Linked DNA regions of Arabidopsis thaliana. The protein of the gene in region 1 interacts with the protein of each later gene in a pairwise test. Each region holds a gene or a part of one and is shown in the gene's direction. Other genes may lie near its edges. The genes, in order: AT1G76510, NAC090 and AT2G31730.

Region 1 (12,938 bases):
ACCGCTCATAGGCAGTAAAACGTAACGCGCAACCAAGACGCCGATAATACTGGACATTTTCATTCCTGAACTCCTCAAACCTTTGAGTAGGTTTCCTCCTATAATCATGGTCATTGCAGGAACTGCCCCATCTCTTCAGCCAAAAGAAACAAGACACATAAGAAGCTTTCGAATGAGTGAGTTACGTTTTTCCAAGAGATGATTCATTGTTGAGCTAATGCTAAGATAATGGTCTAATTTTAGCTGCAGTTACCCCACTAGAGTTACTGAGTCTTGAAGCACCCGGAGAGGAGCTTCCGTGCCGATTATTAGCTTCCTTAAAGGAGTAATGAGCCCGATCACAAGTGCAATCATCTGGAAACAGAAGAACAAAAAGGGTAATTAGAAAGATTACACTAGTGTGAGTGACGTCTCAAATGTATAAAACAGAGCCATTGAAACACAAACCGCAGCAATAGTTGATGGAGCAAAAATTGTCTTAAGGTTGACTTTTTGTGACAGTGAAACCAATCTCCGCTTGACTTTTTCCCACCTCCCAGCCTGTCATATACACACAGTCACTACCAACTTTGATAAATGAATAGTTACTGATCATGTGCATATGTGATGAAACCTTTTGGTTGTTTTCTTCTTCCTTGGAAGAAATAAGGGGAACTTTGTAGCTGTCGTAGTTGGATTCAACAGAGGGAGGGGTTTCAACGGGAGAGTTCGATAGCACACGCATAAGATTGTATACATAAGTCCATATGTAAATAGATCCCATCTGATACGTTACCAAGTACTGTCATGAGACATACTGATTACAAAACCTTGAAGAAGAAGAAGACAAAGAAGAAGAAGAAGAAGAACTTACAGCCATGGAGAGAGCAACATAACCCATTCCATATTTCTGGCAACTCTCAGGATCTCCAAAGGGACCTCCTTTTTCTTTACAAACAGCTGGGATTATAATCAGTGGCATATTCCCCAAATTCCCTGTTTTGTTTCATTCATTACCACAGTCATAAGCAAAACACAAGTTAAACAGATTCTGAAATCAGAAACATTCATGTTAAGGTTTGTTACCAGCAGCACAACAACCAAGAATGAGACCACGAAGGTGTGAAGGAGGCTTAGTGATGACAATAACAATCCAGCCAAGTAATGAACCAATGATGAATGTAAGCAGAACATTCACCGGCATGAACCACCTGCAAATCCTCATTTTCATTAACCAAAGAGCAAAGATTACAGACTCAAGATGCAAAATCTGAGATTGACTTACATTTTGACCAAGCTTTCGTATGTAACACTATCAGCTAAACGGCTTCCAATAAGCGAAGGACTAAACACATAGAAGACAATCTATATACACACACATCAAGAAAATGATAACAAAACAGAGACATATTAAAGTTGAATCATTTAGATTTATTAAAGAAAAGAGTAAAATTAAGTGATAATTAACTGACGTTGTTCAGATATTTACGAGCATCATGACCAAGAAGATTGACTCCATCGAGAGCCATATAAAATCCGACTGATGTTATCAACAGAATCTCAACGACTGGTTTTGATGAAGTTATGAACAGCTCCAAAAGCTTCACCATCTTTTTACTATCAACGCGAGAATCTGCAAGTATAAGTTAACTGTAGCAGAGGAAACAGAGAATCAATGGAGCTGCAAGAACCGCCGAAGAAAACAGAGCAATCCAAGAAGGGAATGAATTTTTTAACCGATTTAGAGGAAGAGAGAGATTTATCGTCAGTGGTACAGCTAGATGACAGTGAGAAGCCGCCGTATCAGAACTTTCTCACTCTCTCTCTATGAAAGAGAAAGAGCGTCTCCAAAATTTGGCCTAGTACAACACTTGCATGGTCGCCTCTTCATTCTATTTAAATTCTTGTCTATCCACAAAATGCTTTTTTCAAGAAACTAATCTCTTTATTTGGGGCAAACTTAGAAACTAATCTTTTTAACTAAGGTAAATTATTATTCTATGCATATGGGAAGAGAATTTCATATTTTCATCCTACATATTTTGTATGTACAACTTGGTGTCCGCATGATCCGGGTCAGACTTTTACATCTTCTTTGTTTTTGGAATTGTTTTGTTCCGTATAAGCAACAAAATAACGTATCATAGATTCATAGTTAGCTCCTTTTTGAATTCCAACTTTCACAACTTATGAGTTATGATATATCTCGTAAGTTTATGTCCTTTGATTTTGTATATTTTCCAATTTTTTGTAACCTAGTTTATGTACAAAAAGAAAGAGGAAACAGTTCCACAATTTTTGGAAAACTCAACTCAAGCGGGGTCTTTGTTTGTTTCGTATATTGTCGTATAACACTATTGAGAATAATAAGGCTTTATCTGAGAAGACGAATTTATATGGTAACCGTCGTCATGCCTTTCGTCACATCGACTACGAAACGTGCCCCATGTTTTTTTCTGGTTCTTGCCCAAGGTGTGGAGATATTGCAAAGTGTTCATCGATTGTTGAAGATTTATTATTTATTTTATTTTATATATTTTTTTAAAAAAAACATTTTTCTTTTTGTCATCTATTTTTAAGGGGAATTGTTATAAAAATGTACATTTTCATATGCGTCGTAAGAAATTTGAAATGGAAACAAAACTGAATGAGAATAAGATAATAGTGTGGTGGCTTAAATTAATTGTGTGATGGAAGCGTACCAACGAAACGATCGAATATTAATGATAACGGAAAATTCAAATTAGTGTGTGAGGCTGCGACCAGTGTCCGTCCATAAAATTCAATGCAAGATATAAATGTAACAACCCCAATATCAAAATAGTCGACTAATTCTTACCAAAAAAAAACAATTAGCGAATAATTAGAATTATCATACAGTGCTAAAAATATGTATATATATATATACGAGATACAAATATTTAAGTATATATTGTCAAAGTGCAAATTTTAGTGATTTATTAATGAAAAATACACAATAGACTGGATAATTGTAGAAGTGGGATATATTATACACACTACAATAAAAATCTCTTATGTGACTCGAATCCTATAACTCTTCTCATGTGAAGCAAGAGATATTAGACCATCCTTAATTCCTTATATGTAAGCTTATTGTATATGCAACAAGCCTAATGAAGGCCATGTCATGAGCTATCTTCTTATTTATCTATCTTATTAGAGCATGAATAAACTTGTTTGTATAGGATTTCTACTCACACAAGAGACTTGTGAATATGTATTTTTAAAGAGGTTAATTAACAGTATTTGATATTTCTATGATCTCATAGCTATGAATATGATGATTCAAAGAACGTGAACAAAAGATATCTGTAACAAAAAGAAAAGGACAAAGATATGTCAAATTGAAATGCTCCACTCGTTTTAATGTCCGTGAATGAAAATAACAAACTTGACATATATTGAAAATCTTGATTTGTACTATTGGAAATGTGGGGCATCAAAGACTATTATTCCCTAAAAATAATGGTCCTTAATTCATTAGAATTTTGGACAAAAAGCTTTGCTTAATTCTGTACCATTTTGCTTCGAATGAATATGCTCATACTATTTGTTATCCTTTGGATCCACACCAATTCATTAAATTGCAATTATTTGTCACTTTGACAAGTACTATACCTACATACTGAGAAAATCATCATCACCATAATTGTAAAGTTAATCACGTTAATTATATGCTAGCTAGTCTATAATTAAAGATTCAAACACTATATTTTTTTGGTACAACAAAAACTCTATATTGAACATGAACGCACAATGCTTCGATATTTCTTTCTCTATCTTTAGTAACAAATAAAAACACAACAACAATCGAGACAAGCAGAAACCTACGTTGTCTTCCGTGTTTAATTGGGCCTAAGATTATATTCATAATATACCTTACATATTGAGCCCATAGTTTACAATAATGGGCTTTGTTATGTAAATGGGTCGTAAAAGTCCAACTTTCTGAAATATCATTAATAAGTTTTGCTATTAAGATCTTCGTTAAGAGTTAATACAAGTAACAAGCATTAATTTCTTTCTTAATGAATTCATGTGTTCATTATATCATCCGTATAAATCTTTTGATCTGCATATCTCTCCGTTTAATTGATATCTTTCCGTTTCTCGCTTCTTTTTCTCCGCCGGCGTCCTTCCATTTCGCCGGCTGCTATCGAACCCTAACCCGCGACGACTCCACCGTCTCCGGCGTCTTCTTCTTCCGGCGAAACCGGTAACCGTATCTTTTGTTTCTATGTATGTACTCCATGATTTCGTGAAGCTCTGCTTTCTAATGCTTTAGTCGCCATCACTGTTTGAATTATAGCGAATCAGTGAGAGAGTAGGACTCAGAGTTTTGATGCGTTCCAATTCTCGATTACATGCGTCTTGCATTCTCTCTGGAATTATCAATAGTGCGTTTCTATTTATGATTTCTGGATTTTGAATTCTGCGTTGTTGTTGTGATGCTATGTCTCAGAGAATTAGCTTCATGATGGCGGATACTGAAATGCAAGAGCAAGATGTGCCGTCTGGTACCAAAGGTGTTGTAGAGGAGCCTTCAGAACTAGAGAAAGACCTAAACTCTATTGAAAGACCTAAGTCCCCTGTTCCAGAGGATACGACTCATACTTTGGATAGTGATGTTCATTTATCTGATGCTCCCATTGCTAATCAAATTGAGGCTAATGAAGAGGTTGGTGGTCAGAACAGTGTTGATGGGAGGAATGGTGATGTTGATCAGTCTGAAAAGAAGATTACTAGTGATGGCGGTCAAGAGGAGACAACACTTGGGGAATCAAATCCTTTGAAGGGGGATCCGTCGAGTCCTCATGTTCCTGAAGAAAGTGTTAAGAAGTGGAAGACATGGTTGTTGAGTGATGCTGAGGTGATGAGAGCACTTTTCTGTCACATTTCAGACAACTAGTCTGCCTGCATTTGCGTTAAGCGTTGAATATTGTTTTTTGTGAGATCTGTGGTCATCACAGTGGCTCTATTTCATCACGAGTTCACGTTTTTATACAGGCCAGGGAAGTTGATGAAGCAGGGGCACCACAGGATCAAGAGGCGTTTATTAAAGAAGTGGAGGCCTTCAACAAGGAGAATTTCCTGGAATTTAAAGCCCCAAAGTTTTACGGACAGCCCTTAAATTGTCTCAAGTGAGTTGTTGGAAGTGTTGCTTTAATTCTTGGAAAATTCCATACTTTTGGTTATGCCTTGTTTGACGTGATAACGTCTGCATGCTTTACTTTGAAATGTAGGCTTTGGAGAGCCGTTATCAAGTTAGGTGGCTACGATGTGGTAATGATCTACTTTCGAACTTCCAATGATTTTATGTTTACTAAGATCTTCTCCTCCCTCTTCCCCTTTAGGAGGTTAAAAATCTTTTAGATTATTATCTACAGGTCATGCGATTTATACGTTTTGGGTTGTATAACGTGTGAACTATAGCTAATGAATGAGAAGATGATTTAAGAACAAGGAATGGCTTCCGGAAATAATTAAGTCAATGCAGTTATGTGTTAATTATGTTAGGTCTGTGTTTTGGCAACTGAACTTGCTTAGTGTCATCTACTCTGTTTGAAAGTTTATACTCAAATCTATCCCACCGCCCACGTTGCTTGAAACTCTATGTCTGTGGTATTCAAAATTCCTATGATTTTCATTTTCTTATATAGGTCACCACATCTAAGCTATGGCGGCAAGTTGGAGAATCGTTCCATCCTCCAAAGTATGGCTTGTATTGTCCTCAATCTTCAACCTTTTCCGCTTTCTTGTATGAAATTGACTTTCCACATTTTTGTTATTCAGAACATGCACTACAGTCTCCTGGACATTCCGCATTTTCTATGAAAAGGTGAATTTCATTTTTGGTCTAAGTACTGAATATGCATTGATATTAATGAGGTTGTACTTGTTCAGTTTAGTTCATACATGTTCGATTCAGACAATGTTCTTTTGCTCCTTTTGTCAGTAGTGTGTCTGAGACTAGCTGGTTTCGTTATCATTTATGTCGTGGTTTAGTAGCCTTCTAACAGTTTATTTGGATTGACTCCTTCCTAACATGGAGTCTGGTTGATTTCTATCCTATCAAGATGTGGAAATTTCATTATTTGTATCCTTATTTCCAACCGCAGGCACTTTTGGAGTATGAGAAGCATTTAAGGCAAAATGGTGAGCTTAACCTTCCTGGTTCAGCTTCTCTTCCGTCTTCAGGCATTGAAAAGGAGGTTAGAATTCCTATGAAATTGTGTAATTCTTATGCTTTTGGGTAGGTGAACACTTTGAGAGGAGGTCAATTTAAGAGTAGGTAAACCATGTTGTTAAATTAGATAAAGTGAAAGCTCTGCAGTTCTTTATAAAATCATTTTATACAGATGGAAATTTCGGGCATGAGTAATATCAGCTTAACATGTTGAATACTACTCTCTGCAATCTGATTGAATAAAGCTGTACCGTTTTGTGTTATATGGGAAACATAAGAAATAATATGTACACAACACAGCTAATTACCAATTTAAGCTCCCTAAAACAGAATTTTAAACTTTATATGCCTTCCCTTTTTCTCTCATTGATATAAGGGCACTTATGTAGGCAAGTAGCCATCAAGCTTCAGGGTCAGGCAGAACAAGAAGAGATGCTGCAGCTCGTGCTATGCAAGGTTGGCATTCTCAGCGCCTTCTTGGATCTGGGGAGGTTACTGAGCCTATTGTTAAGGTTTCTATTTAGACCTTACCACGTTTCATAATTCACCATGCACAAACTTACGCTTCAACATGATTCTGTTTGTACATATATTTTCAGGAGAAAGGCTTGAATTCAACCCCAAAGCAAAAGAACCTCAAAAACATTGGTAATATTCCTAAGCGATGGCTATTGTTCTCCACTACCTACAGAATGATTACCTAATGCCACCGTGTATAAATGTTCTTTTCAGGTGTGCAGAAACAAAAAACAACAACCGGCATGGACCTTGTTTTTTCACACGAATCAGAAAAACAGTTACGAAAGATAATCATCTCCTGTATTTTTGTGTTGCTTATGCAAGATTGCTTTACCATGTGCAATTCCATACAATCTTATCCATCGAAAAACCCTGCATTGTCAATGTTTGGTAGATCACAAGCACTGTTTTCTGGGTGGTAGTTGTAAGAACTGCCATTTCAGAAATAGCGCAGGAGATTAAATGAATACAGAGAATTTTGTAACTTGTCTTTTCATTTCGTTTATTATAATCAGAGCAAAAGATTGATAATATGGTTTTGGCTTGATAGGTCAACTGCCGAGGTTATAGATGTTGGACCCCCTGCAGACTGGGTGAAGATCAATGTCAGAGAAACTGTGAGTACCACTTCCGCTTCCCCCCTCATATAATGCAACGCTTACCCAACTCTTGAAACTAGAGACATGAGAAAGAAAAAAAGTCAAAAACAACACTGCCTGAAGAAAGGGAAATAACTGCAATCTGGGTTTTTGTTTTGAATCTGAAATCTTACCAAATTTATTTTTGTTGTCTTTATTTACAGAAAGACTGCTTTGAGATATTTGCCCTGGTACCTGGACTTCTTCGCGAAGAGGTGAGCTTTTCTCCTTGGAATTCAATCTCTAAAGCTTCTTTGATCAGTGTTTTGTCACTGGAGTGTTACTGATTCCTACGACATAGATGTGAACATATACTGGATTCGAATCTAAATACACACACTGTTGTCCGTTGTAATGAATTTCATAGTAATTTTTTGTGTGATTGCACACAGAATCTAGTTCCTCAATATAAGTTGATTTCTTCTTTCAGGTCCGTGTTCAGTCAGACCCTGCAGGGCGGCTAGTTATAGCAGGCCAACCTGAGCAACTTGACAATCCTTGGGGAATCACACCCTTCAAAAAGGTTAGATTCTAACACTCCAAACAGAGCCCTAGTTGCTAATTGAAGGATAGTTGTCAATTGTTTTCCGATTTTGGTTATGGTAGGTTGTGAACTTTCCCGCAAGAATCGATCCGCTGCACACGTCAGCGGTTGTGAGCCTGCATGGTCGACTGTTTGTGCGAGTCCCATTTGAGCAGTGACCGGTCTCATCCCAAGTGAGCTAGTTCTTTATTTGTCTCTTTGTTTTCTTTTAGGAATTCGTTTGTATCAGAACTAAAAACAAACGATAGCAAATGTGATAGTTTGACTGTGACTTGAGTTCTGAATATTAAAGTAGAGAAATGAATATTGATGTTCCATATAAAGTTAGTAAGGAAGCTGTTCCTTATACCTTCAAGTATGCAACCAACAATCACAGTGTCTGGTATATATCTTTTAGAAAATGAAGTTTTCATCTGTTTTCTCTGTTTATTTCAGTTTCAGGTTTCACATAAAGAAAACTTACAATTTATAGTTCAATCAAGTTAAATGGCTCCTATTGTAGGAGAGTACTGAAGTTTTATGGGCTGGAAGCTTTTGGGTTGAGTTAAATGGCCTGAAAATTAGGCCTTAGATGTGTCGTGTTGCTTTCGTGATCCACAATTGCATTCATATATATATATATATATATGATGAGGAAAGTCAAGAAAATTTTTTTTGAAGAAAAAAACTAAACATATTATTGCAACTTCCAATTTGCATTAGACCCAATATTATATATTTACATCTAACACGTTTTGTGATTTTTAGATATTCATGCTTATCTATTTTCTGTTGACATCAGACAAAAATTAGCAAAACATTCTATTGTAATAGTTAATAATATGTGACTATACTACTATAGTATACAATTTTTGTTTAAGTTCTCTCTTTTTACAACCGTGAGATTCTTGGTCGAATTCATACCAATCTTCAGAATTTATGAAAAAGTATGATATTATTTTCATGTAAAACAATTACAATAACAAATCATACTTAAAAATGTTGTAGTTCGAACCATGATCCTTTAAGTAACATATGTTCTTCAAGCTCTATGGCCCACACAATAGTGTAGACCTTCTTCTTTTTTGGGTGTAAAATAGTTAGTAGTCTAGATAGTGTAGAACATATGTTACTTAAAGGATCTATATATCTATCCAATCATAATTCGTATATATAGGGAAACCTTCACATTTACGTTTACTTATCAGCCGTTCGTATAAAACACACAATGAACAAGATTTCTTAACCCAATCGTTGCTCAACTGCATGTAAGGCACTTGACATGAGCACATGGATATCTTAAAAAGATAAAGTCACAGTGCATGTATCGAAAAGGTCTCAAAGTACATTACCCTTTATTCTCTTTACATGGTTGAAGCCCTAAAATGTCAAATATATGAAAATTATGAAAATAAGAGGTTTTTAAACCATCTCTCATTCTCATTGTATAACAGTAAACATGATGAGACTCCATTTCTTATATACATAAATGTCACCTGTCTTCTCTTAGAAGCTCATTGAAGATATTTCACCACAAATCTCCTTTGGACATGCATTGGTCATGTACAAGCTTTTCCTTTCACTTGATTTTCTTTTTAAATATACGTTTTCATACGGTCCATACATAGTTTCCCTAGGGACTTGATGCATTCCTCATTTTCACACATCTTTGTACTTAAAGCCCCACTTGGCTGTGTTGTTATAGACTTTCCTAATCCTCTAAAAGGAAACTGATAAATGAAACTCTGGGACAAATTTTTCATATTTTGGTTTTGGCAGGTCATGTAATGTTCTCGTGTTTAAGCCATTAACTTGTAACCGTCGAAAAATCATGTTTATATCGTTGTAACGGGTGGGCGAATCTTTTCTTATAATCGACAAAAATATAGTATGCAATTATCACAGTAACCGCTGTCTTTAAAACAAACTCATAAAATTCTAAATAGTTATTTAGTTTTTCGTAAAATTTCTAAAGCGTTATTTACTTTTTGGTAGATTCTTAACGCGTTATTTTCGTGATTAATTGATAAAAACGAAGAAATATTCATATTGATCTCATCGAAATACAATGTAGAACTCAGTTGGGTGAAACATGTACTAAATCAGAGATTCCATGCGTAAACAAGATATTCAATCTAGAGATTTTCAAATCATAAAATCTCGAAGATTCATGTATGGTATCTAGATGAATTAAAAAGAACAAGATGTTTGATTTGTTGGTTGATTACTTGATAGACATAGTAACATAGATTGAGTGATTACCTTTGATAACTACTCAAAAAGGGGATTACACATACCACATCCATGATATATACAAGTATGAGCCATTTCAATATTTCTATAAAATGTACTCAATAACTTTTTTGTTATCCAATTACAAAGGTAACTAAGTGATATATAAAAATTGGCTTCTAATAGCACTTTTATTGTGAACTCAAGCATATAACAAATAATATATAGGGACAGCACGAAACCCTAGTGATTAAAAAAGAAGAGAAAATGCAGATGGAGAAGTATATCATCTCAAGACGAATTCAAATATTCATATATGATCAACTAAATTAAAAACCAAACGATCCCCAAACAATGAAGATGATTTTTTTTTTCTTTTAATTTTGAGAAATGAAATTTGGTTACAGCTATGTTACGGACATAATTTTCAATTCTAAAAGGCTGGTCTTGGTGGTGCGGCTGCGGCTGCGGCTCCCCAACCAAGCAAATGAGGATCACCGGCAAACTGATCATAACCACTCATGTTACCTCTTAACTGTCCTTGACCGGCTCCAGATGGTGGTGATGATGACGTGGCCGGCGGTGGACCACCTTCTCCTCCTCCTCCCTCTCCAACTTCTCCTCCCTCTCCACCTTCTCCTCCTTCATCTTCAAGGGGAAGCCTTTCGAAAGTTGCATTAGAGAACGATGCAGCCATTAGTATCACTGGACCCGAAGCCACAAGCGGAGCCACCACGTTTCCTCCAATCACCTGACCTTGAACGCCGGAAAGAAAGATAGAAAGACCACCGGATCCTGGCGGCGCAGGGGGCGGCAACACCGTACCTGTGAGGGAAAGTATCTCAAACCTTCCATGTAGAGCCACAACACCTCCGGTTCCACCATTTGCCCCATGAGCCGCTGTCGTTGCCGGCTGCCGGAGACTGACGTTAGCCACCGTGCCGTTACCACTGAGAATGGAGACTCCTCTTCCTCTCCTGCGAGCGTAAGTGGTAACGCTCTCGACTATGTCGGCTCCAGATGAGACTTCAAGAACATGAGATCTAAGCACGTTGGGGCTATCTCTAGTCACTATCACCGGTGGCTTCGGCTTGTTCTTGGATCCCGGAGGACGTCCACGTGGACGTTTCCCGGTTGAACCAGAGGTAACTGGGTCGGAACCCGGATCCTTGTTGGAGTCAGATTCATCATCTGAATTCTGCTGCTGAGGCTGAGGTTGAGGCTGAGGCTGAGGCAAAGGGTGAAGTTGAGGCTGAGGTTGAAGCTGGTGATGAAGCTCAGGCCTGAAGAGGTTGTGAAAGTATCTAGAAGCTCCTCCGGATTGATCGTAACCACCGTCCATGGCAGCCGCATCTACTGACTCTTCTTGTTCTTGTGGCTCATATATATAAAGATATTGTGAGGGTGAAGATAGAATTCATATAAGAGAAACTTTGAGATCCATTGGAGAAGTCAAATTTCAGGAGGTGAGGAGCCAATAGCTTGAGTTGATCGGTTACACAAGCCGACAAAAACAGAGCTAAGAGACACAAATCTAAAGGGTATGCTTTGTGTGTTAAACCCTAACTCGCTTTAGGGCAAGAGAGGAGAGATTCTTCACCCGAGACGGTGTCGTATTAATTGATGTGAAAGAATTCTAGGGAAGCTTCAAATTAATTCATGTGCTGAGACTGAGAGTGAGTGACTCTGCAAGTACTTTTTTTGAACGAGGAAAGGGAAAAAAAAAGCAATAGACACACCGAAAATTTAGCTGAATATCATTCCTTTCGCATTAAAAAATAAAATACGCATAGGGGCATATATTAATATACGAATAATTGCATATTAATAATATACTTGAAATCCATGAAAAGACAAGGGTTTCGAGTTTTTCTTCTCTGGATATATGCGTTTCCCTTTTTGGCATATAGCTTCAAACCAAGAAAATAAAGGAAAACTTTTAAGAGTTAAAATTTAAAGAAAAAGGAAATTAAGAAATTTACAATTTAAAAGCCAAAGGTATATGAATAGGAGATGGAAGAAACATGCTGATATTAAATTGTTGGAATTTTTTTTTATTTTTTTTGATAAAGTTGTTGGAAATTATTATATAGAAAACAAACGAGAAGTCTAAATATAAATTATTGTATAAGTTTTTGAAAGTTACATATCAAATTTGTCCGCATAATAATGCAGTATTCCCTAGAAACAAATGTAATACTCCCACCATTTATCATTATATGCTGTTTAAAGTTAATTAACATATAGTATTAAAATTTAATTAAAGTTTCACTTCTATCTTTCATTAATACACAATTATATTTCTTTCATCAGTTAATACGTTAGAAAAACATAGATTTTTTTTTTGTCAATCTGTTAGAAAAACATAGATAAGACATGAAATTTTAACAAAAAAAAATATTTGCATTGAAAATATAAAATAAAATTTATCCTGAAACAAAATTAAAGTCTTAAAACGACACTTAATTGAAACAGAATAAACAGATGACAAAAAGTAAAATAAAAGTGAATCAAAAATGTTAGCCATGAATCGAATTGCCTTGAAGCGTGTGCATGTAACGCCTTCCATTATGAATTTCATCATTTTCTTTAAAACCGAGATTCTACCTATTCAAAACTAAATTCAGTTTCAAAATGTTTTTGGTCTTGGTCATATATTCTAAAACTAATTAAAAACTATTACCATGAGTGAGTGCACTTCAATTTTTATTAAACTAATTATAAATTATTATTGATAGTAAAAAAAATATAGACCAAACTATTTATTATCAATGTATATTAACTTTCTAAGTTAGAAATTCATGAAATTCGATATAATCTACATAAGGTACCCCAAAAA
Region 2 (9,984 bases), on another chromosome or scaffold:
TCTTTCCTTCACGTAATCCTTTCTCTGCATTTGTTATTCTTATCAAATCTATAATAATGTGTCCATTTTAAATGTGTTCATACGGAAACTTGTTTACTAAGCATATCCATTCTACACCAAAGTTAATGTATAAGTCTGCTTTTATTCATTCAAGGCTCATATAATCAAATTCTACACGAATATATTTGTAAAACTACAATCATCTTAAGTGATTATGTTCCTCTTGTGTATTGCTTTCATTTTCTGTTAATTAACCAAAAAGCAAGTTTGTAATCAGATACTTAGTTGAAACCTAGGATACCTAATATCTCATGTTTACTAAAATATATAACGACTCCCCCTGTCAAATATACAATAATTCCTATCCATCACCCCAAGTCCATACAACCATGTTTACACCGCTGTAGAATCAAAAATACACAAATTCTATAGAAAGCATAAGTAATAATCACCAATTTCAAAAACTATGTCCATTACGATGCTTTGGGTTTATATTCTAACCCTTTACAAGTAGCCATCCACTAGCGACCATTCTATGTTGACCATATAGTTGTAGGGATCAATTACAATTTTCTTGTAAATGGTTAGAGTTATGACCATATGATGTATCATTGTAGAATGCGCAAACAAAATAAAGTGCTAATTTACCGAGCTATAAACACATTCACAGCAAATCAAAGACATAGTTGTTATCCATTGATGACAGTCCAAGAAGTCTAGTCCATATGGTTATCTAATGATTCACATGGTATTTTTATACCAATAAACAAGTCTATACATGACCAATAAACGCCAATCCAAAGTACATTGTCCATTTTTCTTTGACCATTTATTCACTTGTGTATAAACAATTCCATCAGTAGGACAATGTCAGTTACATAGCTTTTATAAAGAATGTAACGAAGATCTTATTTGTATTACACTCTCAATGAAGACCATTAGTTTACTTTGATACGTCCATATTAATCATTTGTAATAGGTAGAAGAGAGAAGGATGTGTCCCTTGCCATAAATTACAAATTTTTATTCAATAGAAATTCAACAAATATACATCGATTGTATAACGTCATAAACTCACAAAAGTTACTTTGATTTTCATCATGTCTCAACCTCTCGTTTCTTTCTTCATCTTGACTTTGAATTAGAAGTGATTACTCTCAGGAAATCAAATCAATCAGAAACAATACTCTCAAATTTATAGATCTGATGTGGAATAAGATTAAGAACTTTCTAGTTTTGTAGATCAGAGATACCAAAGTAATTAGGAGCAGAGAGACACCAAACAAAGCGACGAATAAGGTATAAAGCTCCCTCCGCCACCGCCACCGCCACCACCAATAACGCCATCATATCTTGGTTAGCTTTTCAAAAACAATCATCGCAAGGAATCAAAGCAAATATGTCGGAGATTAAAAGATAAAGCCCTCGTTTTTGAGCTTTGATTTTTAGTAAAAGATTTGATTTTGGTTTTGGAAATAGAGAAATAAAAACGATGGAGAAACGCTGAGAAGATATGAAAAAGAAAATGAGTTTGCAGTTAAAAAGGGTAAATTGGACAATTTGGTTTGACAAAGTGCCTTATCTTTTCAAAGTGTCTAAATTCGTACATACTTTTCTAAAAGTGCCATAGAATGTAATATTCTCTTAAAAGAATCCTTGAACACAAAAAAAAGAGTAACCCATAGCGGAATAGTGTTTATTTGTTAAAAGGGCAAACTATTTGTGTGTTTAATTAGTCCCGAATCCGAAAAAGATAAGAACCTTGTTGTCTTTCGTTGAAGAAGTCTTATCGGATTGTCTCTGGTTTTTACGTTTTTTTTTTTTTTGGTGATATTGGAACTGAAGATAAAGATTGATATCAAAACTTAACCATATTGTGAAACGATGAACATGTAAGAGGATGATAAGCTCTGGCTCTCTTATAAAAATAGTTTATACGTGATCCCTTTAGAAAATGATGATAATCACAATATTACCAGTGACATAAAAGGAATATATCGGACTTCAGCTGCACGCATGCAACAAAAGAATAACATATGATCGAAAAGAATAATCACAGAAAACTTGATTAAAATTAACAAACATCACACGTAAGTTGACAAAAAAAAAGAAATACAAATAATAATCACACGTTATAAATGGCCATGGGACATAACTAAATGCTCTAAAAAGAGTAAAACGTTACGTAATTCATTTGTATTAGTATTAGCCCACTGAGTACTGATGAGAGCGGACCAAGTCTCAAATCTATGCAAACCACAAGAAAAGACACCTAAGTATTAGTATGATGACAATTCTGTCGTAAATAAGATTTAGTTGTTCGATTATATTCTGGCTCCATGGATTTGTTTTTTTGCTCTTCTTGACTTGCCTTAAAAAAATTTAAAGAAGTCTACGGATTGTCGGGTTGTCAAAACTTGTTTTTGGTTTCGAGATTTTTATTTTGGTGATTTGATAGAGAAACCAAATAAAATTAAATATCAATCCAGCTTCTAAAGTTTCAATCTAATAAAAACAATATTAAATAATATATAAGAAATTATAAGGAATGATAATTTAATAGGTTCGTCTTCTATGTCGATTAAGTTTTATTCCGGTAATGTTTTTCAACTAAAATTAAAACGGCCATACACCTTTTTAGTTTTGCTTTTCACGATTTTTTTGTCACAATTTTGATACAGTACCAATTGTGTTAAATATTTTTTTGCCAAAATTATCACTCTATAACACTTTAAGTTTTAACTGGAGAAATAACAATTTTAGCTAGATCTTTAATTTATCTGTGAACGCATTTGAGTTTTGGATCATTCATTTCTTTAAAGCAAATGTTTGTACTTCCTGAAAACACTTGAAAAAGAATTTGGTAGTTTGGCCAAAAAAGAAAAACTTGTTTTACTTTCGTTGGTTGGGCTGTTACATAACTTGTTTTAAGTGAATTTGACATTTCTGTAATGAATTTCATATTAATAGAAGAAAGAGTCTCGGGTTGACCTATTTTTTAAGTAAAGGTACGGTTGAGATTAATTAAGGTCGCAACATACTTAAAACGAATTATTGATGTTGACCACTTTTACCTAACAATCCATAACGGTGCGTGATTAGTTTTCGTATTGGTTGGTTTATCTATCTGTTTTCTGTTTAGTGATTTAAATTAGAGAGGACCCCCAAACTATATAAATTATGTGCCCAGTTAAGTTTAATATTAGTGATGCATGCAAATACTCTACTAGTCATGGAGACGAACCTAACCAAAGTGGCATTTATTCTCCGAACTGGTACATGAGTACCATAATTATCTAGAATACCGTACACAAAAATCGTTATCTAGTGTCTCGAAATCGGTATCACAAAACTAGTCGATATAGGAAGCATTTTAACCTAGATTGAGAAAATACACAAATTTACCATTTTCTAACTTGCACATATATGATGTGGAGATTTTCAAAATACACTATGGGGCATATATAGTCTTCTTCTTTTTTGTTAAAGTGTATCAACTTTTGTTATTTAGAGGAAGGAATTGAAGTGTTTTTTTTCAATGGTCAATATATAGTTGTGAACAATTAGAATTTACATTCAAATATCTTCAAAATTTATAATTTTCAGATCTATGTGGTACATTACAAAGTATCTTGGTATTTAAAAAGTCATCTAGTGTAATTATACTCAATGATTAAATTTTGGAAAGTAATTTGCATCTATAAAAGATAATGTACCATGATAACGTTAATGTACTTGCAAATGGCCGAATTTATGTAACGAATTAACGAAAATACCCCAAGGCAAAGTCTTCTTCATCTTTTTTTTTATTTTCAACTTGTTATATACTTACACAGTTTTTTTTTTGTTATGTAAATAAATAAAGTTAACTAAAATTATGACGAGAATTGTTACACATACATTATTTCAGTTTTACTATACTTTCACTAGAAATTACATGTTCCTTAATGAACCTCATTACAAAGATTATTGTCCTCTGACAATTTGATTAGGCATTAGAAAACTAACCTATGACTAATCTGAGTTTGCTTCAAAAAAACTATTTACTAAAACTGGCAAGCCAAATTAAAAGATAGGAAAACTAAAGGAAAAGAGACTGAAACTTGACGGCAAAGACGAATGCTTGACTCATTCAATGGACGTACGTGGCTCGTAAAAAGTTTACTAAACAGTAAACACATAACAACGAAAGTAATCAAACACACACACACAAAACATCCTTGTCTTTACCAATATCCGTACAAAAAGGGAATAAAATAAAAAAAAAAAACGAAAAACGCGTAGAGAACTTTTCTCCTTTCACTCGGAGAAACCAATCTCTACTTCTTATTTAATGACAATGAATCCATGGCATCTAAGTTAATAATATAGGTAGCTACAACTAATTAGAGTGTTTCTTGTTGTTAAAAATATCGTACAAAAATGGCCGATGAGGTCACAATCGGGTTTCGCTTCTATCCCACGGAAGAAGAACTGGTTTCGTTCTACCTACGAAACCAGCTCGAAGGAAGGAGTGATGACTCAATGCATCGTGTCATTCCCGTACTTGACGTCTTTGAGGTCGAGCCTAGTCATCTTCCAAGTACGTTAACGGTTAACCTCACCTGAATTGTCGATATATATATCTACTATGGCATCAAAATCGTCATATCTTAATATTACTTGAGAGTCATTAGGACATCATACAAAGTTAGGTTTTATAGCACGTAAACTTCTCCATTTTGGTGTTTGGGTTTCTTGTTTTACGAAAATAGTAACCCGATTCCAGATCGGTTTAGTCGGTTTTGAATTGGTTCGGGTTTGGTATAATCAGATTGAACACCCCTAAAATACATGAATGCCATAAAGACTATATATGCGTAATGTTTTTATATATGAAACTCACACAATTTTGCAGATGTTGCTGGAGTGAGATGTCGAGGAGACGCTGAGCAATGGTTCTTCTTCGTGCCACGACAAGAACGCGAAGCAAGAGGAGGCAGACCGAGTAGAACTACTGGTTCAGGATACTGGAAAGCAACTGGATCACCTGGTCCAGTCTTTTCCAAAGACAACAAAATGATTGGAGCAAAGAAAACTATGGTTTTCTACACTGGAAAAGCACCCACAGGAAGAAAAACTAAATGGAAAATGAATGAGTACCACGCCGTTGACGAAACAGTCAACGCTTCCACAATCCCTAAGGTACTTGCATATAATTAAAAACTTTTAAATTAGAACATTCTTGTTACTTTTAATAACGAGATTTTTTGTTTTTGCTTTCTTGAAAAATGTAGCTGAGACGTGAGTTCAGTTTATGTCGAGTCTACATAACAACAGGAAGCTCCAGAGCTTTTGATAGACGTCCTGAGGGAGTTTTGCAGACAGAGAGAATGCTAACAAGTGATGTTGCAGTAGCTGAGACATCGTTCCGTGTGGAAAGCTCACTGGAAACTTCGATTTCAGGAGGAGAACATATTGATGTCTCTATGAACACAGAGTTTGTTGATGGACTATCAGAACCGATGTGGGACTGGGAACAGCTGACTTGGCCTTGAAGCTATATAGATTTTATAATCAAGCAAATTTAAACTTGTTTCAATTGCTTATTGTTAGTTTGAATTTTATGACCCGAAAGATTCTTTTTCTTTCTTTACCTTGTAACGTGAGAATTTGAGAAATAATAAATGACCTAGACAGTGACATTTGAGATGTTTTCTAGAGAATGTTGGAGTCATGGGCACGTGTGATTCAGAAACTCAAAAGTCTAAAGACAAAATTTGGCAGAAAGTTAGTCGTCTGGAAAATTAGCATAATCCAGTGAACCAAACCAGGAAGTTGTGTAAATCAATGTTGTTTAGACTTAAACCGAACTCAAAAATACACAAAAAGGTTCATACAAACCGTCAAATGGTTTGGTTCAGAGATATTTTAAACCAGCTCTCTTCTATATAAAGTTTCAAGCACTGTTCTCAGTCTTGTATTTCCTCATCTTCCATGTACTTCTCCTGTACAGCTGCGACTGTGAAGACTATCGTCAAAGAAACAATTCTTTTGTAGTAGACGTAAAACTAAACTCAAGAGTTATTGAGAGAAGTAATGGTTAAGAAATCCAAAATGCTAAAAAAGGATATCTGTTATAATCCCAATCAGTTTGACCAATTGCAATCTTGCTGTATTCAACCACACTTGCATCAATGCCGGCAAATATGTATCCATTGCTCTTGTCGATGAGCTTTACTAGATCCCCAACACTTTCTTTATCCTGAAAACAAAAAAGAAAATTGCGAAAAGATGCTTGTACAGAGAGAAAGAGAGAGAGAGGTAAAGGAAATCGCAAACCTGAATATCCAAGGTTGTAAAATTAACAAGACTGTAATCTTCAATGACACTACATAGCTCTTTTGTTAGTTTTCTGCAATGAGAAACATCAAGCTCATGAGATATTGAGCATGCTTCTAAATGGATAATTATTAACCGTTCAATGTGTATTCAGATGATGTTTACATCGAACCTGTACTTAGCAGAGCGAGGATCTTGACTAAGATGGTGCTCCAAGTATGACAAGTCTTGAACATCGGTATAGAAATCTAAATTGAAAGCTACATGCACAGAGATCCTAGTTAGTGAGTCCACAGTATACATTTGAAAATTCGATGTTATGAGAACAAAACCATAGATAGATTATTAATACCTAGCTTCCCGTAGCTTCCAATCAGATCGATTTTAGACAATACATTGACATGTGGGAGTTCCATGTGAAGCATTGTGGATAAGGAGAGAAGTAGCGAACTTACGTAGTTCCCGGGATCACAACATAGATGGGAATCAATTAGTTGCACAGCAGTTAACTGCAGAACAAAGAAATTCATCAGATATGTAGACTCCTAAGTAAGGTTCATTTAGCAAGTTAGTAATAAGTGAAGTAAAGCACATACTCTAAGGTTCAATGATTTAATCAGCTTCGTGAGAACATTCTTGGTACTGTCATGAATGAAGAACAATTCCACTTGGCCAGGAAAATCAAAGAGAATGTAATGATCTGCAAACAATTCAAAACGTTTTACTTTAAGAAAGAGATATTATGACCACGAAAAGAAGAAGAAGAAGAAGGGACATATCGTTGCTAACCCTTCAGAAGAGGCTTTAGTTTAGATTCCAGCCAGTCAATGTTTTTCTCCAAGTACTCCATACAATATACAAGACCTGTCACATTAGAAAGTTTCTTTGTTAATTTGACCAAAGATTAAAATCAAAAGTAAGAAGAAAAGGGAAAATCAAGATGGCAAAATTCACCTCCATTAGGACCAAGCGAGTGTTCCGACATAACATCTTCTAACTTGATCAATTCTTCTATATTCACACCACACTCATAACTAAAATCAATGTCAAGAAACAACATACACCTGCAATTTTTAACAATTTTGTTGTATTTGGCTTGAAAAGGATACGGTAATGCATCATTTGCAGGATCCAGATTAACAATAGCAACCTTCCTGCAACAACAACAAAATAGTAACTCAACGTTAAGAGAATTTACTTACAGAGAAGTTCTCACGAATCTGCAAATCTCTCTACCAAAAACAAAGACAAGGCAACAACATTTCACAATGACTCTGCTCAAAAGTCAGACAATTCAAATTTCTGGAATTCAACACTATTATTTACTAAAGTTTGCAACTTGTAAACTTTACAATGCGAGGGACAGCGAAACAATCAATACAAACAGAATTACAGATACAAAAGCCAAGTAAGCTTCATTCTTTGATCCAAAAAGAGAAGAGAAGAGAAAGAACATGAAACCTGCCCATTAGAGAGAGGAACTGAGACATTCCATTGCAATAAGTGGTCTTTCCCGATCCTGGAGGACCTATTACTACTTGTCCAAACACCATGCTTCTGAAGACGAAGAAGAAGATTGATACCAATCGGAGTCAAACACGTTGTATAATATCAGAGCCAGTCAGACAAAAAAACACAGTAATTGCAAAGCAAAATCATCTAATCATCAAACTAACATAACATGAATATTCAATAGAGAACATCAAAACCCTTCTAAACACTGAGCTCGTAGCACAATAGAAATCGGAAATGTCATTTGTTCGTCGGACACAGAATACAAACACAATCCTCCAATATTATTAACCCAATTCCTAAACCTCGTTTATAATACAACAAACAATTCACTGGAGAAAGAGAAGCAGAGAAACAATTTGCTTCAAGAGCATATTCATTATATCAGAAGCAACTGGAGACACAGAAGAAAATAAATAGAGAAGCTCGCCTGTGTAGTTAGCCGGAGAGAGAAGCAATGACAGGTCTGTTTGCCGGAGCAAGAGAAACTCGCAGCCGGAGACTCGTCGAAGACTCGATTCAAGGCGAAGTAAGCTCGCCGAAGACTCGATCGGTATATTTAAATTAGGGCTTTAATTTTAATTCGGTTTATTCGTGCTATACTCGAACCGAACCGGATAATCGAAATTAAAAAGAAGGAAACGATCAAGTTATTATTGGAGTATCCGAACCCAAACCGAAAAGTGAATTTCGGGTCGGTTTGTTTTCGGATAAGTTACCAAGGCCTAATAAATTGGTAAACCGTAAACCGATGCATCAGGGTTTAAAATGTAACAAAATAATATTTTAGGTGACAATTAAAAACGTAACAATAAAACAAGGGGTTATATTCGAAACGTTTGCACCTAACCTTATAACTTCGCATTTTTATACTCTGTTCTGATCGCAGCAAAGCCGACGTTGAACTTTCTCGCCGCCGGAGCGCGTGATCTCCACTCTCTGTCATCGAATCACTCTAATTGAAGATTCTCCGATGGCGATTGTCTATGCTGTTGTAGCGAGAGGTACCGTGGTATTAGCTGAATTCAGCGCCGTTACGGGAAACACAGGCGCCGTGGTGCGACGGATCCTCGAGAAGCTTTCACCGGAAATCTCCGATGAAAGACTTTGTTTCTCTCAAGATCGTTATATCTTCCATATTCTTAGATCTGATGGTCTTACCTTTCTCTGTATGGCCAATGATACCTTTGGAAGTAAGTATTTTTCACTTTCTCCGAATCGTAATCTCTCTTAAGAAGATTTAGTCTTTGTAATTGATTCTGAGTTTTATGTTTTGATGTGTTGGTGATTGGATTTTCAGGGAGGGTTCCATTTTCGTATTTGGAAGAGATTCATATGAGATTCATGAAAAACTATGGCAAAGTGGCTCATAATGCTCCAGCTTATGCAATGAATGATGAATTCTCAAGGGTTTTGCATCAGCAGATGGAGTTCTTCTCTAGTAATCCTAGTGTTGATACTCTCAATCGTGTTAGAGGAGAAGTCAGTGAGGTATAATTGTTTCTTCGTATGATCTCTAGATATTACTCAGCTATATCCATTGAAAAGGTTGAATTTTTATGAGTTATTACGCCTTCTTGGCTCACACAGGCTTCTTTAAATCTGTCTTGGGTGAAAGATGAAGTTTGTTATCTCATTGTTGTGTTATCGTGTTTACAGATTCGATCGGTCATGGTAGAGAACATTGAGAAGATAATGGAAAGAGGTGATAGGATTGAGCTTCTTGTTGATAAAACAGCAACAATGCAAGATAGCTCGTTTCACTTCAGGAAGCAATCTAAGCGCCTTCGCCGAGCTCTTTGGATGAAAAATGCTAAGCTCCTGTAAGGATCTCTCTCACTTCTAGATTCTCTTCATTCCTTTTCTTTGCTAACTAAGAGATACGCTCTTCTACATTCTAGGTGTTTCAACTCGCCTTTGCAGCATAGTTTATTGATATGTTTCTTAAACTAGAGATACAGTAGTTCTAAGATTCAACATTATTTTCGATTTTGGGAAATTCTCCTCGACAAAATATCTAATTTTTGGCTGATAGGAACTACACTGCCTTGATTCCACCTCTGCTTAAAGAAATTTCATTATTGTTTTGTTTTGATGCTTGAGTTCCAGATCACTTTTATTAATCAACAAAACTGCTTTTCTTGTTTGTGT
Region 3 (10,668 bases), on another chromosome or scaffold:
CTGCCATCAAATTATAGCTATTGATGTCATTGCTTATGTAAGCATGAAACCCCAATTGCAAAAGTGAGAATAACTAAAAACTAAAAACCTTTCAATTCAACTTTTGGTTTATCTAATGGTAGGTGCCAAGTTTTTCTTGAAAAATGAACAATTTAGCATCCATATATTTGATGGCAGTGTCTCTATCCATTATGACAAAAAATGTATCCATATATTATATAAAACAAAAATTCTGATATAAATAAATTCACTTTCGATTTACTTAAAAAATTTATGATTCTAGATAGCCGATTATAAATTTTTGTTTAGTCAAAAAAAAAGAAAGTTTAAACCGATTATGAGAATTCATGATTTATCAATCAAAACACATATGTATGAGGCCCAAATATTTTATCTTCAACATTCTGACCCAATTTAAGCCCACAGCAGACTCTGACTCGATGGTTTTGGTTAGCTTTCCGGTTCGGTTTGGTTTAATTGATTAGTTTCGATTCGACTTTGAACCAAATTTAAACCGTACTCCGACTTCAGCATCCACCACCTCCAAGTCTTCGTCAGTCGTCACCGTGTGGTAAGTGTAAATCCTTAAGTCTGGAAAATTAGGGTTTTTGGGACTTGGGTGTGTTTCCATAGCAGAGATATGGGGAAGAAGAAAGGAAACAAAGCAGCAGCTTCAACAGATGATTTTTTACAAACCCTCGAAGATTTCACCAGCAAAGAGAATTGGGACAAATTCTTCACTCTCAGAGGCAACGACGACTCTTTCGAGTGGTATGCTGAGTGGCCTCAGCTCCATGACTCGCTTTTACCTCTCCTCCAAGATTCTTCATCTTCTTCTTCTGATTCGCTTCAGATTCTGGTTCCTGGATGTGGAAACTCCCGCCTTACTGAGCATTTGTACGATGCTGGATTCCGTGACATCACTAATGTTGACTTCTCCAAAGTTGTTATCTCCGATATGCTTCGTCGGAACATTCGGACTCGGCCTGAACTGCGTTGGCGAGTTATGGATATAACAAAGATGCAGGTTTTGGTTCCTTTTGTGCTCTGTTTTTTTTTGGTTTCTAGCTGATCCTTGTTCTGTCTCTCATTCACTAAATATTTTTACTTTTTCTATTACGCAGTTGGCTGATGAGTCTTTTGATACGGTTCTAGATAAAGGTGCTCTTGATGCTTTGATGGAGCCAGAAGTTGGTACCAAGCTGGGAAATCAATACTTATCAGAGGTCTTAGTGAACTTCTTTTGTTTAAGGGATTGCATAAATTGGATGAGTGTTGGATCAAACAATGAAAGTTATGTGCTTTAAATGCTTGAGCTTGATTCAGTTTGATCATTAGTAACTCTTTTCTCAGGCCAAGCGGGTTTTGAAACCTGGGGGGAAGTTTATTTGTCTAACGTTGGCGGAGTCTCATGTCTTAGGTACACCTCCAACACCTTTGCTTCTGTTATTATTATTATGTGAAGCTATTTCATAGTTATTGTTATCTTCATTCTATTGTCTGTTTTAGTGACATTCTTAGTGTTTTTGCGCAGCATTGCTTTTTTCAAGATTTCGTTTTGGTTGGAAGATGAATGTTCATTCAATTGCTCAAAAACGCTCGAAGCTTAAGACATATATGGTGGTGGCTGAAAAGGAAAATTCCGTTTTGTTGCATGAGATAACCTCTGCTTTCGAACTTGTATCTCTTGGCCGCAATGATAGTCAGGTAATTATTTCCTGTTTAGTTTGACTTTAACACAATTGTAAATTCAACCACCTTTCCCTTCATATATCGATTTTTTCTAGCTCTTTAAAACACTTGTGTAATTCTCCAGTGTAATATATGATTCTGACTTACAATGTAGGGTTCTGGCATGCGTGAAGCCGTCGAGAGCGAGAACAAAATACGTAGAGACTGCAATAATGGCTCAGACTTATTGTACTCGCATGAAGATTTGAAACTTGGTATTAAAGGAGATTTGGCAGAGCTTACTGAAGGTCGCCGTATAAAATTTACTTTGGGTGGCCAAGGAAGCAATTTCAGTTATAGGGCCGTGCTTCTTGATGCTCAGAAACAAACTGAGCCATTTGTATATTATTGTGGTGTTTTTCTTGTCCCCAAGGTAAGCTTTGTCAACATCATAAATCCTTAATATTTAAGTTCTGGAAATTGCTGTGAATATATTGTTTAATTTTGTTTGATCTATTAAAAGGAGTGTTAAATTTCAGACTCGTGCTCATGAGTGGCTGTTCTGTTCAGAAGAAGGACAGTGGCAGGTTGTCGAGAGTTCTCAGGCCGCTCGTCTCATAATGGTAAGCTTTTTATGGTAAAACCTCTTTATATACACCATGTTACCGTGATCTATTTTCGGCATGAGATTCTAAACACATCTTAATTTCTTGATGAAGGTTTTTCTCGACAGTAGCCATAGTGGAGCCACCATGGAGGATATCCAGGTAGGTACTATCTACATTTTGAGTTGTCTGATGCATTATGTTGTTTACTTATTGATCGATTTTATCTGGTAACTTATTCATCTCAGAATGATTTATCTCCAATGGTGACACAACTAGCTCCCAGAAATGATGATGAAGCTCGCATTCCGTATGTTTATCGGATTTTTTTTTTACTATATTCTCCATGATTTTTGGTGCAACAGTAATCCTAACTCATTTTGTTTCCGCCATTATTGCTTGTTAATTAGTAGTTGAATTGAATTGGTGCTGTAGGTATATGATGGCAAGTGATGGGATAAAAAAGCGTGATACTGTCCACGAGGTATTATTACTAGATATACCCAATTAATCACTTAATAAAACTGTTATTTGTTGTCTCTTCTATTTCTCGCCTTTCACAAATATGATCATCGTTTCCTTTATTGATCTCCGTGATTAGACTTTTATCCACCACTATTTTAGCAAATTTTAATACTACTGATTGGTTAGAATACGTAGTTATGGGGATCTTTTTTGTTTCTTACTATTCATTTCGATTTGTAGGTTACATCTCCTATGACTGGGAAAGTGGTTGTTGAAGATGTGGTTTATGAAAGCGCTCCTAGTAATTTAGAAGACTTGTCTACTTCTAGTGATTTGGCATTTCGACGACTTGTATTCAAAAGGACTGAGGGTTTGATACAGTCTGAAGCTTTGCTTGTAGAGGATGGTGAGATTCTTGAACAGTCTCAGAAAGAAAAAACTAAAAATGTTTCCCAATCGAAGCGAAAGGGAAATAAAAAGCAAAACCAAGGTAAAAATCGTACTTCTGTAAGTGTTTTGATACATTTCAGGTGAAAAGTTTCATGATCTTTTTTACATGTATCCATTTCAGAACCGAGCAGGCCTCTTATGAGGGTCTCTCATGATTATCTGGCTAGCTCTTACCACACTGGAATTATTTCTGGATTCACATTGGTATCTTCCTACTTGAAGAAGGCTGAGTCATGCGGAACGATGGTGAGCATTATTAAGTTGTGGCCTCACGGTGCAACCGATCTGAATCTTTTCTTTGCCTTGTACTGATCCAGAAATGTTCTGATGCTTTTCAGGTTAAGACTGTTGTAATTGGTCTTGGAGCAGGATTACTTCCCATGTTCCTCCATGGATGCTTGCCATTTTTCAGTATTGAGGTAATTTCAGTTTAAAGGATTAATCAAGTTGAGTATTTTCTATTGCCACTCATATTCTGTATCCTGTTGAATAGGCGGTTGAGCTTGACCCAGTAATGCTTAGTGTTGGCAAGGATTACTTTGGTTTCACACAAAATGATCGCTTGAAGGTAAAATTCTCCCTCTTTACAACAAAAGTGCTGGCTAAACTTTAACATGTTTATATTCTATTCTATTATATGCACCATCACTCAGCTCGTTCGCATTCTTATAATAGGTGCATATTGCTGATGGGATCAAATTCATTAGAGATATAACAAACTCTGAAGCTTCGTCTGAGGAATCGTCAAACATTGGCTCAAATGGAGATTCAACCACTCACAATACACAAGGTGGAATTTGTCCTGACATTTTAATTATAGATGTGGATTCAGCAGATTCAAGGTAAAAGACATGGCAAGTAAATTCACATATCTATGAATTTACCCACATGGTAAGCCTGATTGTTTTCTTGTTTGATCTCTTGTCTGCAGCGGCGGATTAACCTGCCCTGCATCTGATTTTATCGAAGAGACATTTCTTCTTTCGGTTAAGCAAGCTCTCCCTCAGCACGGTCTTTTCATAGTGAATTTGGTCACGAGATCACAGTCCGTCAAAGATATGGTAGTATCAAGAATGAAAAAGGTAAAGCAAATGTGATTCATTCCTTGTAAATTCTCTGCATATTTTCACAAATCTGATCTGATACTATTGCACGGAAATTGAGTCATAGAATTGATCTCTATTGTTTTGTTTTTTGCCAAGGTTTTCGATCATTTATTTGGCCTGCAACTAGAAGAGGAAGATGACGTAAACGTAGTGCTCTTTGGGCTTTGCTCTGAATCTGTAATCAGCGAGAACGATATTCCAGAATCTGCAGTTATACTGGAGGGATTGCTCAAGTGCCAGAGATTGGAAACGAAGCAAAGCATCATAGACGCTACAAAGAAGCTGAAATGCTGGAAATAAAAACATTCTTTATTATTTCGTTTTAAAAAGACGTGTGAGATATATTTCTGTTATAAGTTAAGATTGAAATTTTTGAGACTATATTATATACAATACACCTAGTTTCGTCCATACGCAAATGGAAAATGAAGCGTGGAGTTTTTTTCATAACCTTTATGATTGTTAGACCTACCAACTTATTGAAGCATTCAATTTGGATGATAGTGAAGTTGGAATGTAAGTTAAACATCAATGTCTTGATTAATTTTGTGCATTTTTGGGAACTATCCGTATTGTTTCTGATTTGAGTGATCTTCCTTATTGTTGCTAAGAAATGCTCGAATGGTGATTAGCATAATTGCTGTTTATTCATTGGAGCTATAATAATTATGGTTGTAATATTGTAATTTGGGAAAGAAAGCCTTTGATACAGGCCGATTTTGGTACGTACGTAAGAGAGATATAAATTGAAACACCTAAACCAAAATCTGGTCGCCGCGAAGACAAAAGAAAAACATTTGTGGCAAAGAAACAAATTCAGAAACCGCGTGGGTCCGATATGGAACGCTGATCAATTGGACATTTGTAAACATTTCAAATATTTTGCATGTAATCAATATTGTTGTTATATTTTTTGCCTTTTAGTTATAGTTAGGTTTGTTTTTTCTGTTTGTTTGGTTAGATTCAACTATTTGTTTATGCTTTTCAATTTTGGGTTAGTATTTAGCTGTTTACTTTGGAGAAACAAAAGAAGATAGATTCTGTTCCATATAAACAAAAAGCTGTGTCGTTGAAACTTGAAAATGTGAATATACTCGGATATCAACCAAAGGGTACGCTGCATTAACCAACCTCCCTCGTAGAAAATTTCAAAGAAAGGATAACAAAACAAGAAAAAGCACAAAGTTGAAAAAGAAGTGACAGATGCAGAAGAATTGGTCAAAATCATTTTGACAAAACTACATAAAAAACAATCAAATGTCACTTTCAAAATTATTAGCTTATTTATTATTTTATTATGAAAATAATGAAAGCGACTTCTATCTGGGACTGGTAAAAGGACCTCTCTCACCATTGGTTGTACATTAGCTGTCAAATTTTTACATTTCCATTACATTCCCTAACTCCAAATATATACACTAAACTAAATTCTTCAAGTTACTTCCTAATTACTACTATAGTAATTATTTCCTAACCGTCAAATAGTACTGAATAACACATATAATATAGTTTCGATTGATTAAGAGATTTGAATTAAACAGAATAAAGTTTTACGATTATATATTCTAACAATTTATTTGTCTCACAAAAAAATCTATAGATTTAATGAGAATTAAATGAAGAGGACGAAAGGAAAAACAAAATGAAGAAAAAGACATATGAAACGTAGTCCCCTCTTTTCTTTGCTTTCTTCTCTACATAAAACTAAAACTCCTCTCTTTCACGACCCTTTAAGTAACGACGCCGTTTTCATCCAAACACAAACCTCTGGAATCGTGTCACCGTTGGAGCTCCGGCTTCATTAATGGCTTTCTTCAAGACCTGAAGACAAAAGAAAGTAAAAATATATATACACTAGAGAGACCAAGATCCTCGTTTATGGGTTTCATCGTGTCTTGTGCTTAGGGTGACATAAATACCCATTTAGAGAGCTTAGACCAAGAAGTTTTAGAGTTTGTGAAGTTACTTGTTGGTTAGTCTGCTGTTTCTGGCAAATGCTGAGTCTCTTCTCTCTGTAAGTTCTTTTTTCTTCATTTACTCTGTTTTGTTCCCCATTTTTGGTCTTTTTGACTTAACTTAGAGTATTTTAAGGCAAAATAAAATCATGAATCTTTTGGTATTTTTTGTTCTCATCTTCTTGTGGGGTTTTTCTATTGAAGTTTGCTTAGCTTTGAATCTTGTCTAATGGAGCTAACTCGATCCAAAATAAAAACACGTATAATGATTAACTAGTTCTGCTCATTAGATGAACTAAATTAATGAGTTAATTCCGTAGTTTCATGCATCCTACAATGTATTGTCTATGTATGGAAGCAAAGTATGATATCATATTTAAACATCTATGATTGTGCTACTAAACTTTAAATAATACTTTAAGCTGATGTGATCTTATATGGATAACCTCTGACCATTATCTACTTTCTTTGACCATTGCTCTTGTTTTCTAATCCAAAAGTCGTATCTTCCAATGCATTAGTTGGTCCAAACCTAGATTTGCATCCCTTAATTTGTAGTAGTTAACATCTAATTTTGATGTTAAAACCAAGACACCACTTTGTTTGTCTGGTCTGAGAATATCTCAAGGCGTATAGTTTTGTCCTTATGACGCTTGCAAAAGCAAGTTGTTGAGTTGTAATCTTATGTTTTTTTCTGCAACTTGCCTTGGATGAAGCCATGAGATTATCTTTATAAATGGTAGCAAGTAAACCGGTTTCTTATGTCGAAAAACCGATCATTTTTGTTTTGTTTGATGACAAGGAATGGAATACTCTAGAGACTCGGCAGAGATGATGATGGAGACTAAGCGCAATGTCTACTCGCTTGAAGATAACAAAATTAAACGACACAAGTCATCTGATCTCTCTTTCTCTTCCAAGGTCTTGTGATACATCAAAATCAAAATTCATTGTGGCTATGAAGCTACCGGACATTTCTGTACCAGCATGCTAATGATCTTGAAACTTTGTTGTTCTGTGGTTTAAACAGGAGAGGAAAGACAAATTAGCAGAACGTATTTCAGCTCTTCAACAACTAGTTTCCCCTTACGGAAAGGTACTACTTGGTCCGAAATAATCTTTCTTACACGCTCTTTGTCTTCTCTAGCCATGTTCAAGTCTCTATCTATGCAGACCGACACTGCATCAGTTCTTCTAGAGGGAATGCAATACATTCAGTTTCTTCAAGAACAAGTCAAGGTCTGCTCAAGTTTTCTAATCAAATACTTTTCATTCATTCACCTCCTCCAATCCAATGATGATTATGCTTGATTTTCTCTGTTCAGGTTCTAAGTGCTCCTTATCTGCAAGCAACCCCTTCTACTACAGAGGTGAGCTGAATCTATGATCTGGATCTCGTTTACTTGGATCACAATGCAAGACTGATATTTTCCATCTCTGTAACTAGGAGGAAGTGGAAGAGTACAGCTTAAGAAGTAAAGGGCTATGTCTTGTTCCATTGGAGTATACATCAGAAGTTGCTCAAACCAATGGTGCTGATATTTGGGCTCCTGTGAAGACTCCAACATCTTCTCATGCTTTTAATCTCTCGTCTTCTAATTCGCCCTTTCAATGAGCTGCTGCTAAATTCTCTGTCTCAAGACTAATGAAAATTAGCCAAAGCTTTGGTCTGATCATGTATTGATGGAGAGACCTTGAAGTCGGTGATGGCTGTTTCTGTTATTTTTTACTGCTTAATCCCAACTCTGTGGTGGCTTCTTGTAACAATTGATTCTAATGCGAAGTTTAACGGACCGGTCAATGACCGGAATTAGCTTCCTGTTTAATAAAGTTTGAATTGGTGAAAAAGAGTTAACCGGTTTAGAGAAACCCGGGAAACTTAACCCGACCCAAAATTGTCAAACCCGTTTTGTTTGCGGCTATTGAAGGATCTTCTATTGAAGAGAGCAGCTAGCTAAAACCCTAAAGCCCTAAAATCAAAATTACGCTAAACAGAGAAGGCGACAATGGATCACATCGCTGCGGCGGAAGAGCAAATCGTATCGGAGAGACTTCGAAGAAAGCTTGAAGAAGTTAATGTAGCTGCTCAGACTCAGCTTTCTCCTATCCAAGATCACATCAATTTCACCCTTCAGGTATATACAAAAATCTGTACTTTTCGCGAGCTCAGCATAAATTCTCTCTGATATAACAATTTAGCAATGTTAGCTTCTGAATATGGAATCTTTATTGGTTTGATACAATGCTAGTTTCAAATTTGATGAATTGAGTAGGTTCATGAAAAAAGTCTGAAAATTTGCATTTGGGTTCGTACTATATTCGTCTTTAGACACTATGGATTAGGTTCACGACAATTGCTCTGGTTTAATTACTATATTGTGCTCTGTAGGATATTCGATAAGTAGGCGTGTCTCGTTGCATAACAATTGCTCTGCTTTGTCTTCAGAAGCATGAGAGTTATTAACACCTTCTCTTGTGTTTTTGGGTTGCTATATTGAGTTATATGATCCGTTGATTCAAATTAATTAAACCCTGACAACGATATCATTGTTGCAGCAAGCTTATTTCAAATGTGCATATGAGTGCTTTGATAGAAGAAGAAAGCAAGAGGAGATAAGTAACTGCGTCGAGCACTGCAGTGTTCCCGTTGTCAAATCTCAACAGTATTTCGAGAACGAAATGGCTCAATTTCAGGTAAAGATATCTGCTAAAAGATGATACATAGTTTGCTGTGTATAAAGACTGATTTTTGTTGAATGAATGTATAGGAAAGATTGAACAGATCACTGGTGGTGTGTCAAGACAAGTTTGAGGCCTCAAAGCTCCAGAAGATAAGGCCTGAAGCGGTTAACGAGATGGAGAGTTGTGTGCACAAATCCATTGAGGAAAATCTCAATACATTACCACATATTGTGCAGAGAATGAAGACAGCATTTAACATAACCAACTAAAAGCTCTCGTGAAAAACCTTGGATTCCAGAACTTGACTAGCCATATTGTTTGAAAAGACCTTTTCTTTTGTCTTAATATGATCTACAAATTTGTTTTCCTTTTTCTTATATTAAGTTTTAAAATTTGCCACTGTTTTGGAATAACTGTATTTGCTTGTTCTTCATCTTCCCTAGCGAAAACTTTAAAACTCTATAAAAAAAAATTGAGGATAAATACATGAATTTAAAGATTGAACCGAACAAAAGAGACTAACCAATAGAATAGAAGCAAGTAATTTAGTGAATATCTAAAACTAATATAAAAATATATAGAGATTATCACTAACAAAAAAAAATAAAAAATAATAGAGAGTTATATATACCTTTGTTCGTTTGTGAAAGGAATTGACAATCAGAATCATATAAAAGCAAGACTATAAACTCCTCTCTGCCGCTTAACTCTTTCTTCTTGTCTCTCTATTTTTTATAACAATGGTGAGAGGAGATGATCAACTTAATGGTTTGCAGGGAGGGAAGAGAGCGTTAGATATTTTATGTGTAGCGACGGAGAGAACGGTTAGCGCTTTTGCATATGAGGAAATAGGAGAAACATCCACTGAAGGTGATAAAAGGAGGGAGAGACTGAGAAGACTGAGAAGATTAATTAATTACAGTCTGAGCACAACTATGAATTCCAGCTTGAGCAAACGACTGAAGATTGATGAGTGCAAGAATCAAGACCCGGAACAAAACCCTAATCGTGTTGCTTCTTCTCCAAGTTCGTGCCATCTAGAGTCCAAGAGGCCTCAAAAAGTGGTTTCAAACAAACCGGTAAGAAACAGAAAGCCGGTTATAGTGACAGATGAAGATAGGACACCGACGGAATGGCTGATTGACGTGATGAGAGAAGTGAACGGTATGGATGCAAAGCTGATATTTGTGAAGGTTCTTCCCAATAGTGATGTCGACGAACTTCAGACACGTCTTATGATGCCCTGGAAGCAGATACTAGATATGGACTTCTTAAACGAGGAAGAGTTAGAAAAAATAGATAGACATCACAAAAAGATTAGTGCCAGTGACAAAGGAGCGGATGTGATCGTGGTGAATTCTAAGGGTCTACAGAGGAAGCTTAAGCTCAAGAGATGGGATATGACTTCCACTTCCAACTACGTCTTAGGTTTAGGATGGAACAAGGTCGTCACCGATAACATTCTACAGAGAGGCACTAGGCTTCGGATCTGGTCCTTCCACTCCCCAGACATGCTCTTTTTCGCCTTCGTTCTTTCAGATCCAGATCCAGCTCCGACTGAGTGCCTAAATTTATTGGCTAAATTGTGCGAGGAGACGACTTGTCTCGAGGCTTTACAAGAGGCAAATAGGATGAGCTCACTCGTCTCGGACACAGAGCTGGACCTCGAGCTCCGGTTGTAGTTAAGAGTTTCCAGCAGCAAAAAACAGCTCTTCTAGCTCTACTGCCGAGGTT

The links.
Region 2: the proteins of AT1G76510 (region 1) and NAC090 interact in a two-hybrid assay, tested with the Arabidopsis thaliana proteins (one large-scale study listed by BioGRID).
Region 3: the proteins of AT1G76510 (region 1) and AT2G31730 interact in a two-hybrid assay, tested with the Arabidopsis thaliana proteins (one large-scale study listed by BioGRID).

The regions. Positions count from the first base shown.
Region 1 is NC_003070.9:28,704,035-28,716,972, reverse strand, and holds AT1G76510 (ARID/BRIGHT DNA-binding domain-containing protein), read left to right. Parts: upstream 1-4,024; 5' UTR 4,025-4,239; intron 4,240-4,462; 5' UTR 4,463-4,474; coding exon 4,475-4,870; intron 4,871-5,007; coding exon 5,008-5,141; intron 5,142-5,243; coding exon 5,244-5,283; intron 5,284-5,660; coding exon 5,661-5,713; intron 5,714-5,793; coding exon 5,794-5,908; intron 5,909-6,119; coding exon 6,120-6,212; intron 6,213-6,576; coding exon 6,577-6,699; intron 6,700-6,786; coding exon 6,787-6,835; intron 6,836-6,919; coding exon 6,920-6,983; intron 6,984-7,256; coding exon 7,257-7,323; intron 7,324-7,508; coding exon 7,509-7,559; intron 7,560-7,774; coding exon 7,775-7,867; intron 7,868-7,950; coding exon 7,951-8,042; coding exon of another isoform or gene 8,043-8,046; exon of another isoform or gene 8,047-8,180; coding exon 8,181-8,292; 3' UTR 8,293-8,634; downstream 8,635-12,938. Other genes in the region: AT1G76520 (Auxin efflux carrier family protein), read right to left, coding at 1-133, 254-354, 448-540, 614-763, 854-975, 1,066-1,190, 1,265-1,344, 1,452-1,589; SOB3 (Putative AT-hook DNA-binding family protein), read right to left, coding at 10,533-11,441.
Region 2 is NC_003076.8:7,404,477-7,414,460, reverse strand, and holds NAC090 (NAC domain containing protein 90), read left to right. Parts: upstream 1-4,358; 5' UTR 4,359-4,422; coding exon 4,423-4,582; intron 4,583-4,897; coding exon 4,898-5,184; intron 5,185-5,276; coding exon 5,277-5,537; 3' UTR 5,538-5,702; downstream 5,703-9,984. Other genes in the region: QQT1 (P-loop containing nucleoside triphosphate hydrolases superfamily protein), read right to left, coding at 5,952-6,003, 6,114-6,244, 6,322-6,394, 6,494-6,581, 6,674-6,830, 6,918-7,021, 7,111-7,185, 7,276-7,355 and 2 more; VAMP714 (vesicle-associated membrane protein 714), read left to right, coding at 8,807-9,026, 9,134-9,324, 9,493-9,656.
Region 3 is NC_003071.7:13,484,982-13,495,649, reverse strand, and holds AT2G31730 (basic helix-loop-helix (bHLH) DNA-binding superfamily protein), read left to right. Parts: upstream 1-5,970; 5' UTR 5,971-6,311; intron 6,312-6,958; exon of another isoform or gene 6,959-7,054; 5' UTR 7,055-7,056; coding exon 7,057-7,173; intron 7,174-7,282; coding exon 7,283-7,348; intron 7,349-7,425; coding exon 7,426-7,491; intron 7,492-7,577; coding exon 7,578-7,622; intron 7,623-7,699; coding exon 7,700-7,867; 3' UTR 7,868-8,100; downstream 8,101-10,668. Other genes in the region: AT2G31740 (S-adenosyl-L-methionine-dependent methyltransferases superfamily protein), read left to right, coding at 641-1,027, 1,125-1,226, 1,354-1,420, 1,535-1,707, 1,847-2,104, 2,211-2,294, 2,391-2,438, 2,525-2,586 and 8 more; AT2G31725 (FAM136A-like protein (DUF842)), read left to right, coding at 8,259-8,387, 8,809-8,946, 9,021-9,203; AT2G31720 (B3 domain protein (DUF313)), read left to right, coding at 9,675-10,616.